3 linked regions of the Callithrix jacchus genome follow. The protein of the gene in region 2 purifies or fractionates together with the protein of the main gene of each other region. This does not show direct contact. Links are inferred from orthologs where the notes say so. Each region holds a gene or a part of one and is shown on either strand. Other genes may lie near its edges.

The links. The genes of interacting proteins can lie anywhere in the genome.
Region 1: the proteins of FYN (region 2) and CD36 purify together in Homo sapiens (affinity purification with western blotting; 3 studies listed by BioGRID). This does not show direct contact. The link is inferred for Callithrix jacchus from reciprocal best matches to the Homo sapiens genes FYN and CD36.
Region 3: the proteins of FYN (region 2) and PDGFRB purify together in Homo sapiens (pull-down; 3 studies listed by IntAct, with this or other methods). This does not show direct contact. The link is inferred for Callithrix jacchus from reciprocal best matches to the Homo sapiens genes FYN and PDGFRB.

What each region holds. Positions count from the first base shown.
Region 1 is NC_133512.1:69,397,402-69,401,393, reverse strand, and holds the start of CD36 (platelet glycoprotein 4), read left to right. Parts: upstream 1-1,192; 5' UTR 1,193-1,303; intron 1,304-3,992.
Region 2 is NC_133505.1:118,102,670-118,106,933, reverse strand, and holds the start of FYN (tyrosine-protein kinase Fyn), read left to right. Parts: upstream 1-1,464; 5' UTR 1,465-1,490; intron 1,491-4,264. UniProt on the Homo sapiens protein: Non-receptor tyrosine-protein kinase that plays a role in many biological processes including regulation of cell growth and survival, cell adhesion, integrin-mediated signaling, cytoskeletal remodeling, cell motility, immune response and axon guidance.
Region 3 is NC_133503.1:48,866,781-48,870,763, forward strand, and holds the start of PDGFRB (platelet-derived growth factor receptor beta), read right to left. Parts: upstream 2,801-3,983; 5' UTR 2,362-2,800; intron 1-2,361. UniProt on the Homo sapiens protein: Tyrosine-protein kinase that acts as a cell-surface receptor for homodimeric PDGFB and PDGFD and for heterodimers formed by PDGFA and PDGFB, and plays an essential role in the regulation of embryonic development, cell proliferation, survival, differentiation, chemotaxis and migration.

The DNA.
Region 1 (3,992 bases), on a different chromosome or scaffold from region 2:
CATCTATGGTTTTGCTTGCATTGAGAGTTTTCCAAGTAACTCCCAAGTAAAGAATAATATAAGTTAACTGCACCTGTTCAGACACATGCCCTGGGGGAGTCACACACAAACACACACATATACGCAGTCATTCACTCAGGCTGCCAGGTCGAAAGCTTGCTTGACTTGGCTATTCAATTCAACAAGCAATGGCAGCTATTGACCTCATATTACATATTGCATTATCCTGTTCTTGCATAACTTCTAGTCTCTATTCAGGTCACTGTCCCAAAGCTTCTTGCAGGGTTGACTGAGGACTTAGAATTCTCTGTAAGTATGCTGTTGTGACACTATTAGGAAATTCTAATACCACACTCCCTCTCTAGTCATACCAAGCATCTTCGCCTCACAGACAGACATTTTACTCTGCACTCTAGGATACTGCAAAAACTGTTCCTATGCCTTGTACTTCCTTGCTGCCTTAAATTCCTCCAATTTGGACAGCTCTTTCTAATCTTTCAAGTGGCAACTTTGACTTCTTATTCTCTTAAAATAAAAATTTAAAACACTCTCTACTACCCTAGACTATTTCACATATTCTCTTAGGTTTTCCCCTAAAACTCTTGGCTTACCTTGCTAATAACATTCATTAATACATAAAACTGAGTAATTTAATTTTCAACTCTTCAAACTTAGGCTCCAAAAGGACTAGAATGTTAATTATTATTCACCATTGTAGTGGTAAGTCTTGACATAATCCCTGACATATCAGAGGAGATTCAAAATTTGTTAATGAATGAGTGTTTTCTGTGTTGGAATGAGTATTCTTTTTATTCTCTTGAAAAAATAAAATTGTTGCTTTGAATGTGGTTAAACATAGTTCTAAGATATGAACATTATGTTTTTGGAATGTTTTTCTCTTGAAATTATGGATTTAATAGAATCATATGGCTCTGCATCTGTCAAACTAAAACAAGTTGTACTTGTATTAACAAACAATGCCAAAACTCAGTGACTTGAAATAATGATTTAGTTCTTGCTCACTGGTATAGTCTAAATATTTATTTACCCCAAAATTTATATGTTGAAACCTAATCCCCAAAGCCAAGAGTATTTGGAGTTGGAAACTTGGGAGGTATTTAGATCATGAGGGTGGAGTGTTCATGAATGGCCTTAGTGCCCTTACAAAAGAGGCTCCGGAGTGATTCTTTGCCTCTATTACGAGGTGAAGACACAGCAAGAAGGGATCTTTTAAGAGGAATTGGCCTTACCAGACACCAAATCCACCAGTTCCTCGATCTTGAGGTCCCCAGCTTTCAGAACTGTGAGGATTAAATGTTTGTTATTTATGAATCTACCAGTTTTTGGTATTTGTTATAGCAACTAGAATGGATTAAGACACATTATACGTGAATCCAATTACATGGAGAGTATTCATAGAATGAGGAGCACAGAATGCTGATGATAGAGTTTTGGGGAATATTTAAAAAGCAAATTAATTATCTGTATTTAATGTAATTACATGATAATAATCATTTATGTCAGTTTCTGCTGCACAGGAATGCATTTATATACAGTTATGTGAACAAAAGTAAATAATTGGGTGTTTCAGAATATTTAGATTTCCAAGCTATTACCATTAATGCAATTTTTCTACAAAACTAAGTAATTTCTATTTTGCATTAGTTAACTCTTTTCTCAAAAGAAGTGATTATTTAAATTTTCAGTGATCATCTAGAATAAACTCATATGAAAGGATATTGTCTTTTAATGCGTATGCATTAGTGAAAATGGAAGTCTTTCTCACAGCAGACTTTGATGACAGTTTGTAAATTGTTTGCAAGTTACTATATTTCTGTCAGGTTTTATTTTTTTAGATTAATCCCAGTCAAATTCTACGACCTCATTTTTTTGAAACGTTTTGTTATACCAGTTATTCCAGATATTTGTGGAATTGTTGTCTTCCTAACTGATATGCTAGTATTCTCTAGACTATTTTTCACAAGTACAGAGAAAGTCTTACTTTCAATATTTTATTGTTAATGCTTTTTACTACTGAGAATGCAGTTTATGTCATGGTGTTAAATGACAATATAAATCACCTCCTACTATTGCTCAATTTTTTTTTAGTTTAGTCATTGACTTTCTTCTTCTGTAGGTGATATTCCCAAATCAGGACCGATTCTGCTAATGAGCAGAATAGGCAGATTGACACATGTCTGATAGAATTTAAGTGATTTCAGATTTCTCCACACATTCATCCCCGTGTCTCACATTCCTTTTTAAAAATTAGCTATTTTGGCATTTTTATAAAGTTAACTCATTAAATAAATTTGTTTATTTGGTTTCTCTATGTTGTTGGTTTGTCTATGTTGTTTCCCCGTTTGTTTGTGTATGTTTGTCTATGTTGTTCCCCGTTTTCACTTTTCATTTCTCAGAATTTTAAAGAACAGTGTCAAATTGTTGAGCAATTTTAAAACTGTAAATAGAACGAAAAGGAAGAGAGAGGCTTCAGTCACAGGCCAAAAACTTAGCACAGCTGAATTCAATCACTGTCTTACTTGTTTCATAGGAATTACTACTCAAGGGACAATCAGAAAGGGTCAAGGAAAGCTATTTTTTCTTCCCACGATTTGAAAATACATCTTCTTTCGTATGAAGAAAAGGATGTGGTGTGTGTGTGTGTGTGTGTGTGTGTGTGTGTGTGTGTGTTTATACACACATATATGTATAAGATAAAAGGTAAATGGTGGTAAAGTCACTCTATTCCATTAAAATTATTGCCACACTGCTTGGGCAAGATTGTATGTCTCCTGAATTGACCTGAGGAGTGTCTTCCCAAGTAGAGTGATTCTATTTTTTAAAACCTGGCACACCACGGCCTTCAATAAGTCTTATTAGAGTAATGGATGGATATATGAATTGATGAGAATACTTGAAACATTATATGATTGTTAAAGAGATTTCTAAAAGCAAATCACAGAAAATCTGTTTCCTTGAGTGGTTTTAAAGATTTAAAATTGATTTCCCAATAAATGGGTGGTTCAAAATATTCAGATAAATTCACAAGATTGTTGTGAGTAATCAAGAAGGTAATAATTAATAAAATTAAACAATAAGCAACAAAAATAAATATTTTTAAAGTAATAAATGTTTTAATATAGGTTAACAAAGTATTTCTCTGGGAAAGAAACAAGGTGCTCAATGAATGAACTACCCTTAAAAAAGGTGTTTTCCAAGAGCCTCTCTACAAATAAGCCATGATATACCAATTATAAAGGACAGATAATCTGCTGACCAATTACATCAAGTGAATCACATCCACATCAATCCAAGCAGGTCATGATGGTGCCACCAAAAATCTTATATGGGGAAATTAATCACACTTTATGGAAGGTGTTTTTGTATAAAGATTAATATTAGGTTTTCTGTTTTTGAAGGGACATCATAGTAGCTTGAACATTATATGATTAATGAGTTTCCCACTGAATCCACATTGGATCTGCCAGATTATTTAATTTGTTTTTATTCCTCTGTTCAACTACTTCATTAACATGACTGTATCTAGTCTTAACTGTCCTCAATTCATCAACTCTGGATCCCTTAAACATGGTTGAAATTATCTTTGTAAACAAATGCAAAAAATATTTATGAACATGCTCTTTAGCTTTTCGTCAAAAACATAAAAAACCCTTACCCTCCAGACTAGTATTAGATCTCTAAGAGAAAAATGCAAAGGAATCACATGAAAGATAATATTTAATTAAAATTTCAAAGTTTTGTTTAGGAAACCAAAGTATACAAAAACAAGCTAATTCACTCTCAATCAGTGATTTAGTCATTCTTATATAAATAGTTGTAGACAGATAAGAATAAAAATGATTATATTTTTGTTAACATTTGCTTGAAGTTTTTACAGAGAAATCCCAAGTTGTTCATTATATACTTTTGAATACTCCTTACAGTAAATTTTCTTGCATGTTATTCTCTTATTAGGCAATGGACATGCAGAG
Region 2 (4,264 bases):
AGTTCTTATAGTGTTGATTTATTCTTTCCTGATTATAGGGCAGCAAGTTAAAATTTCTGGCAAAGAATTCTCATTTTATATAGCTCAGCAGATCCCCAGTGGGTTAGCTAAAAGAAAAGGCGTATCTTGCCTGGTGGTTTCTCCATAGGACAGGACAGCATGTCTCAGAACTCAGGAAGAGATGGGATGCCGTGGGTTGCTAAGGCATGAGCTGCAGTGGCTTGCTGATCAGCACATTCTCTCTCACCTCCACGGTGGTTCTCTTGCTTGTCTGCAGTGAGTTCATGATTTGAATGCCCATTTGCAGAAAAAAATATATGAGTTTCAAATTCTCTTCCCCATCATCATTTTTTCTTTTCTTCATTGTGAGTCATCTTTCATTAAACAAAACAAAGACGTTACTGTTAATTATACATCTTTCCAAACAGTGCAAAAATTCTTGTGTGTGTGTGGTGGGGGTTGGTGGTTTTGATGGGAATAGTAATTTATAATGGGGGTGTTTTAAATTGTCCATCATGAACATACTGAGAGACACTGAAAAGCTTAAGAGTCTCTACTAAGATAGCAAAAATTGTTTCTGCCTTTTTTTCGTATTTCATAAAGCTCTCACTTTCTGCCCTAACACATTGTTGTAAACATAATTCCATTCAACTATTTTATTGTTCTCTTTATATACCTTATTAAAACTGCAGCTTTATTCAGCTAAAATTGCAAATAATACATGAAGTACCATAATATTGACTGTTTGTAGGCAGAGTATGTGAGCAAACTGGAAAGCTGCCATCCTGTTCCTGGCACTATAAAGATTAATGTGAAGCATGCATGGGTGTCATCAGAACCAGCAGTCAGCCTTGCCAGGGGTTTGGCACACAAGGTTCTAAGGTAATCCCGGAGGTGGAGTTCCATGGATAAGTTAGTGCAGGCTGGTGGGTTGGCAAACCTCCTGCAGAGGGGAACCCCAGCTGATGGGAACCAGGGGCCATCCCCAAAGGGCTTTTTTGACAGTGAGGCCCACTCACAGTCAGATAGGAAGTGGGAAAGGTATGGGCTGGGTGCTGGGGTATTTTAATACAAGAGATAAACTGAGAAAGCCCTTGGAAGACTCAGTTTGTGCCCCAACCATGGATGACTTGTAGAGACTCTGAAAAAGGGAAGTGTGTGTTTGTGTGGTGTGTGTACACAAGGTCACCATCCTTATCTTTCTTGGTTCCAGAAAGTTAAAATCACATGATAGCTTCTTTTGGTGGTATAAGACCAGGTCTTTGCAGTTTCAGGCAGGTGTTTGTGGCAACTGTGACTTAGCAATTGTGTGAATGAGAAAAAAATTTGTGGCCAAATTGATTGTCTGCAACAAATGGAAATTCTATGGTGGTGCTTTGTGGGTGGTTTGTAGGCAGAGAGTACTTGGTTCCCTTTTGATGTCTCACTATTTTTTTTCTTCTTCTACAGTTTTTTTGAAGAAACAGGATGCTGATCTAGACGTGGAAAAAGTAAGTTGGCAAGTTTTGCACTGAGAGCATGTGCCTTGTGAATTGGAAAGGGCTTCCTGTTGGAACCCAGGATGAAGTCCACTTTCAGTGTGGGATTATAATTCTGAGTCCATAGATTTCTGAGAGAGAGGTTGAATTGGAGATGGAACTGGTATGTGAAATAGAAAGAAAATCTTATCTTCCTTAGCGGACCCACTATTTTCTGCCTTCCCTTAGTTGTAACACTCAATTCTGGTAATTTATGGGAACATATGTTTTGACTATAAGTTATGGCTCCCACCACAGAAATAGAATGGAACAGCTGTCCCATGGCTGAGGAGCCTTCGTGCTGGGGGGGAATGGGGAGCACCTGTCCTCAGGCTGGTCAAGGAGGTCATCTTCAGTCCATTCATCGTTGTTTTTCCTCTACTCTCAGATGGCTGCTGCTCACCTCTGCCTGAGTGGTATCTTTGATTGCAGCCACTGTGTAGCAGGTCATTCCTTCATTAACTTAACATTTTTTGGTTCCCACTGGGTGTTAGACATCATGCTGGACTCTGTTGAGACAAAAGTGAATGTGACTAACTAGTACTCAGGTAATTGTGGTACAACCTGAGAGAGCTGTGCAGAAGGGGCTTTGAAGCTCTGACTGAGGGCTGAGCTATCCAGAAAAACTGAGATGGAGGGGGTGTGAGAAGGAGCTGTGAATGCATTCTTTCTCTGAATGTTTGCTAAGCCTTCTCTGCCTGTACTTCTATCTCCCAGGCACCTTGAGTTCCCCAGTGAAAGGCTGAACCTTGCAGCTCTCGCTAGCCACCCAGGCTTCCTTTTCAGCCCCCACTACTCTGCCCAACCACATTGCCTTGGGTGTAACTTTTCAGCTGTTCTGAGTTATGTTCCTCAATTCCCTGGCCACTTTGGGGCTGCCCCTTCATCATCTCAGAATGACTTGGGGTTATTTCTCCTCTTGATTTGAGTGCAAAAGAGGCTTTTCTTCCTAAACTAGAGCCATTCTGAAAGCAGCCAGTTTGTCTGTAAGTTAGGGAAGTGTACTACCTGAAACATTGTTCTGGAACAATGGTGAGTAACTCCTGACCTTTGACCCCATGCAGGCACCTAGCTTCTGCAGGACAGCCTGTGATCTGCTAGTCATGGGCTTTTCAGCTCATAGAAACCAGGGGGACTTGGGGAAATTAAGCAGCTCTAGTTAGGACTAGGCAGAAGGAGCCTTTTTAGAATCCACATGCACTCAGATTTTGACTGTGGAAGCCAGGGATTGGCAAACGCTGCCCCCATGGGAGGTCAGTACACAGTGACCCTTCTGGACTAGGCCAGGTCCACAGCAGGCAAGAGCCTGTGGGTGCCAGGAGCCCCCTCAGGGCAGTGTTGTTCAGGGGAGCCCAAAGAAATGCCTGGGGGTTGCCCCAGACTGCAGGACGTGCCCTGCTCTGTCTAACTCAGGCAGTGAATCCTGCAACCACAGGATGGGGGAGTCCATTCATTTGGATTCCCTGTCCTGGCCCCATGCCAGGCAAACAGCAGGGCTCAGTTAGTGGAGTGTGGGGGCACTGAATGGAATAGTGTTAAAGTTTGCTTCACTTCTGCTGTTAAATTGCTTTTCGACCTTAGACAAATCATTTCTCCTCTCCAAGTCTCATTTATCTTATCAGTAAAGCAGTCCCTTCCCCAGGACCAAGTAAATTTACTCATTTTTAAATTTAAAAACACAAACCAAATATGTTTTTTTGTTTGTTTTCTGACTTGGGTCTTGAATTAAAATGGAAAAAAGAGCTGTTGGCCACCACTCTAAAGAATGCTAGATAAGGCCAGTTATGGATTGGGACTGAGGGAGCAATGAGTGTCTACAAAAGAGTGAACATGGGTGACTGACCCCATCGTGCAGGTGTCTGTAAGTGCTCAGGGAACCCAAAGTAAGAAGCTACACAGGAGTAGAAATGCCGCTTGGACGGAATGAGTCTAAAGGGGTCCGCCTGCACACTCTTCTCAGTCAAGTGGTTACTGACCTGAGAAACAGTCATTGCCTTAGAGGAGTTTGCTGTTTTAACAGTTCTTTTCTAGAAGTTCCACTTTCAGAACCTTTTCCTGTTGCTGGTAGAACACTGTTGAACATGGATACATCAGCTTATCTTTTTGTCTGTGTTTACCTATCCAGAAGAATCTAATATAGGATGTACATCCATTGTATAAGTAAATGATACCTGTTGGCTAACCCCGGTGGAGAAAAATTACCAAAGTCACAGCGTTTGTTCTTCAAATGGATTTTTAAGTTTCCCCTTTTAGTTGAATATTTTTGTAGAGACAGAACCCTATGTGGAAAATCAGCTTTATTTGGACATGTTAAAGCTCAAAGACAAGTTAGTCTTCATTCTGTATTAATTAGTATCCATGGTTTATTGAACTTCTGCTATGGAGAGTGCTTTATATCATCTCTGTTACACTTCACCATGACAGCAGTCCTGTGAGGGAGCCATGAGTGGCTCGAGGTACTGTAGTGATAGTAAGTATTCTACTCAGATCTGTCTGGGCCAGAGCTTTTCCCTTCCCATACCCCACCTTACACTTTGGAATGTATATAATGTTTGAAACAATATATTTGTGTCCCTTATGTTTTAAAGTTTTGTAAATTCTAAGAAAGCAGTGTTTGTTACTTTTTTGAGAGGTCTTCCTTGACACTTCCCTACAGACCCAGTCTGGAATGGGGTTCCCCTATTGCCAGGGATGCTTCAAAGCTGTCATTGTGGTTGAGTCGTTATCTATGCAATGACTTAATAGCA
Region 3 (3,983 bases), on a different chromosome or scaffold from region 2:
GCCTCCCAGCTGTGGAAGCAGCTCAGAGATGGGATGTAAGGGGTGTGAGGTCGGTCACACTGTGGATTTGAGTCGAGCCAGGGCAAGCACTGGGTCTCCTGACTCTTGGTCCACGGTGCTTTCTGCTGCCCGCCCCACATCTGTGGGCAACTACAAGTCCCAGCTCTTCTTCCCACAGAGGAGGGGGGCTGCTGATAACTGCTGTCTGGGAGAAGGGTGCTAACCAGATGGTTTCCTTCCTCTCTCAGGACCAAGCCAGGGCCTGGGCGGACCTTGGATCAGTCAGACCTGAGGCTGCACTTTTGCTGGGGAAGGTGCTGAAGCCAGGAGCAGGCTCTGCAGGAGGATGGAGATTCTTCCCTCTGACTGGGAGCTTCCCAGGGAGCACAAGGCCCCTTTAGGGCCAGAATGACTTCAGCCTAAACACCACCTCAACCCACTGTGTGGCCCTGGCAGAGTCACCTGACCTCTCCAGACCTCAGCTTCCTCATCTACAAGGAGATCATAACACTGATTTCAAAAACTTGCCATGAGGATTCCAAGGTGTGGGAGGTGCCAGGCTCTATGCCTGCATGGGCTAGGTGTTCAGGGACAGGGACCACTGTGACTGTATGGTCCTGAATGCTGTGAATTCAGGGTCTCCTGCTTGGACCCTGAATTCACAGCATTCAGGAACATACAGTCTCGGTGGTGGACTGCATGACTTCAGAACTTGTCACTAGAGGCCTCTGTGCTCTCAGGGGGTCACAGAGGGAAGCAGAGATACTCCTCCCTGCTTGCAATGGAGAAATGCCACCTGGAGGAGCCACACGATGTCCTGCAGGGGCACCTGAAGCGAAGGCTGGGGGGCTGGTCTAGTCTCACACTTGGGAGCAGGTCTTCAGTGAGCTCCTCTTCCCTTTCACCAGGACGTCTCAGCCCCACTGCCTACCCAGGGCTGGGCACTGGGGGCAGAGCACAGGATGGTAAAACCTTTCCCCAGCAGAAAGTGCAGCCTCAGGTCTGACTGCTGGGGCCTGAACAATCTCCGATGAACAAACAAAACACAAACAGATCACTCACAGGAGAGGGCCAAGTGGCAGGGCTTCAGCACAAAATGCATGGCTAGCACTTGGAAGATAGGAAGAACCTGGGAAGGCTGCCTGGAAGAGGTGGAGTACAGAATACCCCTGAAAGAAAAGTGTTGAGGAAGGGCATTCCAGGAAGGGAGAAAAGAGGGGGGCAAATGCCCACAAGCAGGATAGTACACATTCCTTCTGGGAATGCTGGGATCTGACTGGAGGGAACAAAAGGCCCAAGTTTGGAGTAATGGGGCACAAGCAGTTTCCAACCTCTCCAGGCTGTACCACTTTCTAGATGTGTGGCTAGTTATGTGCCGCGTGAGCCTCAGTTTCCTCATGTATAAAGTGGAGGTAAAAACAGTCGCTGCCTCTGGGGTTGCTGGTGAGCATGACATGATATCAGCCTCATAAAGCACTCAGCGCAGTCGCGGCGTGCAGTAAGTATCAATCAGTGGCAGCCTCTGTTTGGAGCTGGGATTTTCTCCAGGCACTGGGGAGCCACAGGCGGATCCTGGGCAGGAGGTGGTGTGATCAGATTTATGCTTTAGAATGGCATGGAGAAGGGGTAGAGTCCAGAAGGAGGGAGACAAAGAGGAGGTCTGAGCAGCTGCCTGGGGCCAAAGGAAATGGCCAGTGGCTGACCCCTACTTCACAGAGGAGTCCCCAGATCTGATGGCCAGGTCCCAGACCCCAGACCCCAGCCCCAGCAGCATGACCACTAGGGGGTTGCCATGGCCCCCCATCGCCCTCAAACTTTCCTAGCCCTCAAACTTTTCTAGCTGCTGGGGGTTTAGAAGGATATCTTAGGAATCTAGAAAATTTGCAAATCCATTTAAATCTCCAAAGGTTGCCTGGCGGCTGACTGGCCTAAAGCCAGACTGACTCTTAGAAACACAGCTTGGGCCACGAACTGGAGAACTGGAACTGCGGAGTGGGTCCTGCGGTCCTCGTCCCCTGCTTTCGGTGTACCTGCCTATCTTCTCCCAATTCCCCTCTCCTGCCAACCCCCCCATTGACTGTGCTGTGATTTGGAGGCCCCCACTCAGCACTCAGAAACCCCTGGGGATTGTTTTATGAAGGCAGGAGCAGCAGGGATGATGAGGTGGAGGCCCCTCACCCCAGAGCAGGGGAAAGGAGAGAACTGGCTCCTCCAGCCCTGACATCACCCACAGTCTCCCAGTCTCCTCTCATCCGGTTTTCTTCAAAATATATTCCATTTGTTTTACCTACTCAAAGAGACACAGGCTAGGGCAAAGGGACAGGGCATGGGGCTAGGGTTCCCACCCCTCCCAGCACTTACCTTGCTGCCGATGGCTTCTGGTGTGGGCACAGTTCCAGGCTCTGGACAGTCACCCCCTCCAGGAAGTCCTCCTTACTGCTGTCTCCCCGTTATCAGAAAGACTGCTGGTTCCAGAGTGTGTAATAGCTGGGTAGAAGGACAGGCAGGACCGTTGCAGGCTCCTGAAGGCTCAGGAGAAGGAAGGGACGGAGGGAGAGGGCTGCTGCAGGGGTGAGGAGCAGCCCAGCTTCGCCTCACTCCCCAAGCATCCTCCAGGAGGAGCAGAGCTGCCAGAGGGGCCGCCCTGAGTCTGGCTGTCTGTGTTGGGCAGGGCGGGCACAGGCTGCTGCTGGGCAGCTGGGCTGAGGGGCTGGCTCTCTCCTCCTCCTCGTTGATCTCCTCTCTGGCTCCAAGTTGCTCACAGAGCGATCCTGGGTCCCAGATAGGGCGGGCGGTCACTGCTGGTTGCTGGCAGCCCCAGAAACTCACACCACCGTGGGCTTTCCCGCCCGCCCCCTCCCCCTCGCCACTTTGGGGGAAAGGCTGCAGGGTGGCTTCTGATTGGCCCAGCTGGGGAGAAGGGGGGCAGTGGGGCAGGGAGGGTGAACGCGTGCGTCTGTTTTCAATTTCAGTTTTTTTCCCCTCTCTTTCTTTTCCCCCAAGTTTCTTGTTTTTCTTCTTTTCCCTCTGCTTGCCTCCCTCTCGTCGCCCGTTCTCTCAGGATGTGAGGGGATGCTTAGAAATTCCACAGCCCACGCCAGCCACCAGTAGCTGAGTCACTTTTATCAAAGAGTGGCCTGGGCCCCACTTGCCCAATGCCCATCTTGGGTGGTGGCCTCCCCTTTTCATGACACCCAGGGGAGAGTCATTTCTCAGTGCCTCGGTTTCCCCATCTATAAAGGAGATTCTGATCATCTCTGTGGTTGATTCAGTCAACATTCATTCATTGAGCAAGCATACTGAGCACTTATTACCTTCCAATACTGTACTGAGTGCCAGGACACAGTAGTAAGACATGGTCCTGACCTCAAGCACCCAGGCTAGTGAGTGAGACATTCAGTGGGCAAGCAGGTACCCGGTGGGCAGACAGAAAGCTGAGAGTGCATTTAGAGGGACTCCTAATGGAGGCCTGAGAGAATCAGAGAGCACTGCTGAGAAGAGGTGGCATGGAAGAGATGGAAAGATCCTCCAAGCTGATCAGTCATTTTTCAGAAGGAAAAACCAAGGCCCAGGGGTGAATTGGCACAGAGAGAGAATGTGATTTGGTCAAGGTCACCCAGCACAGATTGGATATATCCGGATATTGACAGACATATTCCTTTTTGAATCTCAAAGCCCCTTGGGTGCAAGGAGAGGATTATTTACCCCATTTTATAGAAGGGGACACTGAGTCCCAGAGGAGCAAAATAAGCTTTCCAAGCGCACACAGCAATGGCAGAGCTGGGGCAGAACTAGATCTCATGAGTCACATGATAGAAGGGACACAATTCATCTGACCCCCACCCAAGACTCCCCGATTCCAGTGTAGATGAGCCCCCAGCCCTGCTTTCTTCCTAGGTTCCCCCTGTGGCTCTTTCCTTCAGTCACTCAACAAGATAATTTCAAGTATCTGTTTTGTTCCATTTCCATTCTCTGGCTCTCCT